Saccharomyces cerevisiae S288C: one gene and its partner. Changing the gene in region 1 together with any one later gene gives a genetic interaction. Each region holds a gene or a part of one and is shown in the gene's direction. Other genes may lie near its edges.

The links. Genes that interact genetically often act in the same process or in processes that back each other up.
Region 2: mutations in BUD25 (region 1) and YCR102C together harm fitness more than expected from each alone (negative genetic interaction), as found in Saccharomyces cerevisiae (one large-scale study listed by BioGRID).

What each region holds. Positions count from the first base shown.
Region 1 is NC_001137.3:183,231-186,857, reverse strand, and holds BUD25 (Bud25p), read left to right. Parts: upstream 1-2,157; coding exon 2,158-2,180; coding exon of another isoform or gene 2,181-2,317; intron 2,318-2,638; coding exon of another isoform or gene 2,639-2,688; coding exon 2,689-3,127; downstream 3,128-3,627. Other genes in the region: medium-chain fatty acid-CoA ligase FAA2, read right to left, coding at 83-2,317; HEM14 (oxygen-dependent protoporphyrinogen oxidase), read right to left, coding at 2,639-3,627. UniProt on the Saccharomyces cerevisiae protein: Involved in bud site selection. Required for resistance to the DNA-damaging agent methyl methanesulfonate (MMS).
Region 2 is NC_001135.5:303,717-307,436, reverse strand, and holds YCR102C (uncharacterized protein), read left to right. Parts: upstream 1-1,969; coding exon 1,970-3,076; downstream 3,077-3,720.

The sequences.
Region 1 (3,627 bases):
TGTATACCGTATGGATGTGCATAGGGATATCCTACATCAAAGTTTTTTCTAGTTTGAATGTGTTCCAAATCGTCATAAGTACCTAAAGCTTTTCTGTCTTGACTAGTGAACCTTCGGCGTATAGTTGGTCTAATGTATCTTTGAAGAATTTTGATGCTTTGGCACGCTTTATTTTAAAAGTTGGCGTCACAACATCATCCTCGAGAGTTAAAGGCTCAAGTCCGACTTTGATGTTATGCAATTTTTCGAATCCTTGTAGCCCATCGGTGCATTTATTAATTTTGTTTAAAAATTCCTTCCTTAGCTTTTTATTACGATTTAAGTTTTCTACTAGCACTTCCTTAGTCCACGTTTTCACCTCTGGGTGCTTTGCAGCTAAAATCGGTTGCGCTGCATCAACATCAACACCAACGATGCCAACTAAAAATGTCTTTAAAGGATCTCCAAAGACAAATATTTGCGTGATATAGGGGCATGATGATAAATAAATATTTTCGATTTTCTCTGGAGCAATATATTCACCATGTGCTAGCTTGAAAAAGTTCTTGACTCGATCAATGACGCTGATGCGACCTTTTCCATCGATAAATGCAACATCTCCCGTGGAAAACCAACCATCTTGGTCAACGGCTTTTGAAGTTTCATTCGGATTTTTAAAATATCTTTCAAAAACCTGTGGGCCACGAATTTGCAGTTCACCTTTTAAATCCTTGTCGGCATGGTAACCCATTTCTGGAACAGACTTCAATCTACATTCTGCAGAAATACCTATGGCACCACAAGATCCGACATCTTTTTCAAACGGTTCGCTTAAACAGACACCAGCAAAAGTTTCAGTTAAGCCGTAGCCCTGTCTTATACCAATATCCAAGGCACTTCTTAAAAATAGTAAGGTATCTTTAGATATGGGAGCTGATCCGGTAATTATAAACGAGTTATTGGACAAACCTAAAGAGTCTCTGATTTTATCAATCAATACGCGATGATAAACTAGAAAATTCATAATCGATTTATCTGGACCACCTCTTGCGGTAAATCTGGCCGATTTAGAATCCAATATAGTATTTGCTACGTTCCTCTGGACAGTCGATTTATCCAAAGCGTTTTTTATACCGGCTTCAAACCGTGTTAATATTCTAGGAACCAGGGCAACCGCGTAAGGTTTCAAAATCTTCAAATCCTCTACCAATACAGTTGGGTCTGGTTTATGTAAGAAGCCTATTCCAAACCCGATGGCTAGATCATACGCAATAACCATTCTTTCAAAAATATGAGCCAATGGCAAAAAACACATATCATATAACTGTTGGTTTCTTTTATCTGGCGGTATTCTGAAGGTAGAAAAAGCAAATGCTATCCCAGACGCAATGTTTCTGTGAGACATTTCCACACCTTTAGGTAAACCTGTAGTACCAGAAGTAAACGAAATAGTATACAAGGAATCTGGGGTAGGTGGAATTGCAGGAATTTTGTTAAAGCAACCAACTTGTTCTACCTGCTCCAATGAAAAAAATGTGATTTTTTCATTGAGAGAGTTGCACTTAACGGGTAGCAACGATTCATTTAGCATACGGAGCTCGTCATGAGTTAATTCATCCATACAAACCAAAGTATTAACAAATTTCATATCAGGCACCATCTTCAATACATGATACATATTTGATTTTGCAAAAATCAGAATGGGGGCCTCGGTTAAATTCAATATGTACTCGGAGGTGTTTGGACCTAATGTTTCGTACAAAGCCGTGTTAGTTAGAGAATAGGCCTGACAGGCCAAATCTGTTAGGATCCATTCAGGGTTGTTGTGTGATAAGATAGCAACAACAAAATCATTGGCTTCCAAAGGACGTTTCCTTTTCGTGTTTACCAAAGACAATATACCACTTCCGATATTATGACATCTTTTAGATACCGTGGAGTACGACTCGAAACGGAATGTTTCCTCCCAGGTGCCTGTGGCTTTATCAATTGGCCTTGAACCTAAACAGTCACGTTGAGGCCATCTCCTTGCAGAAAACATGAAGTGATCGTATGCAGTTCTTAAGTTTTTATCCACACAGCTCACTAGATTTTCAGAAGAAAGAGAACTCCTATAAATCGAGCTAAAACCAGCTTCATTATCCGGATTCGAAATGGCAACCGCCTGTTTCTTTAAAAATGTTTTGTACCTGGGATAGCTGGTCAGTGGTAATTGAGAGTATAGCTCTTCAATATATTCATCAGAGCCTTTGGTGTAACCGGCTAATCTTGTCTTCAAACTTTCGAAACGAGGATCCGATTCAATTAAATCGGTAAGTGCATAATCTGGAGCGGCCATATTTCGAAACAAGTTTGTTCTTATCCGTTTTTTGTAACCTGCATTCTTCCACTTCCCTTAGCCATGCGTTTCCGATGCTTTATATAGTTCCAACCCATCATCGCTCAACTCCGCAATTAATATTGAGTTCCCTCGTTTTGACTCCAACCCATCATCGGCGGCTCGGCGTTAAAGACTGACGGTCCGGAGGATGTTCTGAAAAATTTGGTTAATATAAATAAATTGTGTCTTTTGATACTAACTACTTTTTCTTATTAGCTGATAACTGCCTCAATTGTCAAAAGAAGTAGTTTGCGTAAAGCTAACCATATATATACGTACTTATTTGCTTAGCTGTAAGGCGTCGTTAAAGCCGTCTACAATAACGTCAGGGACACCGGGACTTCTAGAAAATCCCATTCCCCCCACAGAAACTGTTTGGCCGTAAGATTCTTGCAACTTCCTTTCAGCTCTTTCTTGCCATGCGTCATAACCTACATGAAATCTTGGCAGACATCTATCGGCGATAGTGAATTCCCACTGACCAGCTTCCAGATCCTTGTTACTGATGCCGAGGTGGTTGTTCAGCGCATCTTTGACTGCATTAATGGTTACCTCCCTGGATGGCACTACAGGAACACCGTGTTCATTGAGCATACAACCTCCTATCATCGCAGTCACTTTTGTATATTTGTTGAGGGCGTTTGGGTTTGTGGAGAGTTTGTCAAAAAGTGGTTTGAAATTCCTTTCGATAACAGAATCGAAAATTACACCAAGCAATTTCCCTGGATTCTTATTGGATTTGGGAACCAAGTATCCAAAGCCTTGTAGATCGGCATCTATTACATCTTTGTTTGGCAAATAATAATTAACTAAAATTATTGTGTTTGATTGTATCTCATCTAATAACTTGGATAATGAATTTTGATCCTTCGGTAGCAATTTAGCGATTTTGGGAGGTGTTATCGTAAGTCTTAAATGGTCAAATGTTTCGTATTGGTCGCCAGATTTCGCTTTCAATCCGATTGTCGTTTCGTTAGCAGGGCGTTTCATTATTTGCGTAACCGGGTTCCCAGTAACTATTTTGACGTTTTTAAATTCGTTCAAAGCATTTCTGACTATCTTGGGAAACGTTTCTAGTCCCCCAGCAAGACCCAACATGGGATATTTCTTTAGCGTGTTGGATAAGTCTAATAACTTTGACCTGTCTTTTCCAAACGCATTTGAGTAGTCGTTAAGGCAGCCAGTTAAAGATTGGTGCAGGTTCTCAGTTTTTTTACTTCTTGACTTTCCGCGCATATTATCAATCATAGCTTGTGTGTTAGATCCGT
Region 2 (3,720 bases), on another chromosome or scaffold:
CCTGTGAAGTTTCCGCTTTCGGTCAAAAAGAATATCCGAATTTTAGATTTGGACCCTCGTTCAGAAGCTTATTGTCTAAGCCTAAATTCAGTCTGCTTTAAACGGCTTCCGCGGAAGAAATATTTCCATCTCTTGAATTCGTACAACATTAAACGTGTGTTGGGAGTCGTATACTGTTAGGGTCTGCAAATATGTAAACTCTCGGCGAATGCCTTGGTGCAATTACGTAATTGTAGCCGCTGAAGGCGGATGGTATTGAGAGAAGTTGATGTTCAAAGTATCGTGTATGATAAAAATAGAATTGTAACCAGTTCGTAGTAGCAGTATTAAAACTTTGATTCCGAGATGTAATCCCTCTTTTCTAGCCAGATATGAAGGAAAAAAGTGTAAGGGTAGTTGAGAGCGCTACTTTATTTTATTCTATTTTAAAAATGTTCTCTAGGAGAGGTGTATTAATAGTTGGTACTCCATGTAGCTTCTAAGTCAAAAGAAATGTCTCTATCTTTATGGTAACGGTTCATCGTTAGAGCTCAATTGTGCTTCTTGGATGTATTTCCAAAGTCCCACGTTTAATAACCCACACAACATAAATGTCCTTGAATATAAAAAATTTCGAAAGCTCCCCGTAAAGAATGCTTGATAATCAGCTCCATCAAAGAAATACTTTTTGTTCTTCCAAACTTTTCCTCTCAGCAAATACATATTTATTTCCTTTGCAACCACTTTCTAGAGAATTCATAATAGTTGATAAAAAAGGCATTTTGTCTTCTATGTTCATAATTTCAATTCTTGAATTTTGGAAATCGTGAAATGTTTCGAGAAACCGCCTTCAATAATTAGAAAACAAAATAAAAGATTACAGTTAGGCCACTCAAAAATACAATTCAGATAAGAAAGGTGCGATAGTGGGGAATAAGAATTGGAAATCCGCTTGATAATCAGGGAAAACTTAAAGAACGGGGTGTTAAAAGTCTGTGAAGTATAGATCAAACTCGCACTAGCTAGCAATACTCATGAGAACCTAGGTGAGTGTAAAGCAGTGAACCTTCTTTAGAAAGCAGAGAAAAATCCTCCAAGTTAACAGTCTTCCATACTTACTCAGTATGGATCAAGTTCCACAGTTTGTCCACTTCTGTAGAATAAACTTGTAGTGCTTTTCCGATGAAAAGGGATAGAGTCTTTAAAAGACTTGATCTTGGCATTTTTATCCTCCTTCAAGCAGAATGGCTCCAGTAGAGTTGTTCTGAACGCTTCTGGGCAGTGAGCAGCATTGAAGAAAAAGTACTCAGCATTCCAAGCTTTGTCTTCATATAATTATAAATTAAAACTCATAGCCACCAATTTCCAGGTTTTGGTCGCAATATGCTGCAGAATCAATGGCTTGTTTCGTTACTATACTGGTCCGACGGAGTTTACTTTACTCTAAATTTGCTGAAATAGCAAGGCCACACGCCATACAATTAACAATAGTTCATTCAGTTGAAAGGTTTCCGAGATAGAAAGTGCGGTAGTAGAGAAGAACAATAAACGTATCAAACTTTGCGCAGTCATGGAATTTCCAGGAAACATTTTTAGGTTTTCATATGACAGCAGTTCCTGTCCGAGAGCTGTGCCTTTCTTGTCTCAGCTGACTAAGATGTCTCGGATCCGCCCGGCTGGCGCGCGGCTCCGTCTAGTGGGATAGGCTTTCAACACATAGGAAACCCTTCAGATGATGAGAACACATCGAATCCCAGAGAGTAATATCACCAAGAATAAAGCAACCATGATAGACAATATTACTAAGTGTTCCTCAACAGATATTGAGAAAAGTTCTTATAAAGCGGGCAGGCTTTTTTCTATTTTTTTCTTTTTCTTTATCTAGCTTAAGATCCTTCTAACCATATTCTATAAAATGGCAAGCTGAATACAGATTATCAACGACAATTACATATAACCTACAAACAGGCAAGTTGCAATTCCAGAAACCATGAAGGCTGTCGTCATTGAAGACGGTAAAGCGGTTGTCAAAGAGGGCGTTCCCATTCCTGAATTGGAAGAAGGATTCGTATTGATTAAGACACTCGCTGTTGCTGGTAACCCGACTGATTGGGCACACATTGACTACAAGGTCGGGCCTCAAGGATCTATTCTGGGATGTGACGCTGCCGGCCAAATTGTCAAATTGGGCCCAGCCGTCGATCCTAAAGACTTTTCTATTGGTGATTATATTTATGGGTTCATTCACGGATCTTCCGTAAGGTTTCCTTCCAATGGTGCTTTTGCTGAATATTCTGCTATTTCAACTGTGGTTGCCTACAAATCACCCAATGAACTCAAATTTTTGGGTGAAGATGTTCTACCTGCCGGCCCTGTCAGGTCTTTGGAAGGGGCAGCCACTATCCCAGTGTCACTGACCACAGCTGGCTTGGTGTTGACCTATAACTTGGGCTTGAACCTGAAGTGGGAGCCATCAACCCCACAAAGAAACGGCCCCATCTTATTATGGGGCGGTGCAACTGCAGTAGGTCAGTCGCTCATCCAATTAGCCAATAAATTGAATGGCTTCACCAAGATCATTGTTGTGGCTTCTCGGAAACACGAAAAACTGTTGAAAGAATATGGTGCTGATCAACTATTTGATTACCATGATATTGACGTGGTAGAACAAATTAAACACAAGTACAACAATATCTCGTATTTAGTCGACTGTGTCGCGAATCAAAATACGCTTCAACAAGTGTACAAATGTGCGGCCGATAAACAGGATGCTACCGTTGTCGAATTAACTAATTTGACAGAAGAAAACGTCAAAAAGGAGAATAGGAGGCAAAATGTCACTATTGACAGAACAAGACTGTATTCAATAGGCGGCCATGAAGTACCATTTGGTGGCATTACTTTCCCTGCTGACCCAGAAGCCAGGAGAGCTGCCACCGAATTCGTCAAGTTCATCAATCCAAAGATTAGTGATGGGCAAATTCACCATATTCCAGCAAGGGTCTATAAGAACGGGCTTTACGATGTTCCTCGTATCCTGGAAGACATTAAAATCGGTAAGAACTCTGGTGAAAAACTAGTTGCCGTATTAAACTAGATGACGAACAGATATTATTTTTCTTTTGTATACACAGTTATTACGTATGTTAGAGTGACTTGGTTTTTTTTTTTTTAATGAAATTGTTTGTTATTGATCACGCCTTGTAGGGGAAACAGATGAGAACAGTGAAAATCATAACTCATTATGTGATTTGTTGTGCGTCACCCTTCCATGATTATATATCCTTACTATCTACTATCCAACTACTACATATCTATTGAACTCATATGTACCAAGCACATAAAATTATGCACCTATTTCCATTGGCAAAGACTTGGCGAAATTTAATACACTGTAATAATATCCGGCGAAGCTCTTTAAGAATTCTTACCTATAATAGCGGCTCGCTGTCCGAACGATTGCGCCGCACTTTTCTGCCTCTTACATTCCCTTTTCCTAAGGCGATAAGCAGGCTGAATGGAAACTACGATATAACGCAGTAGAGGTCCCCCAAGAGCTGGAAAGAAAATATTGGTTTGATAGCCAGCACTATTCTATCCAGTGGGCTCTTGTACCATTTTCTGTGGTATGGCTTTGATTCAACTGCATACGTAGTTAACGCGATCAGCCGCACATGGGCATTATCATTTTCAGGGGTACTGGTAAACCCTATTGTTTAGAAAGAATACCTGGTAAGCGGG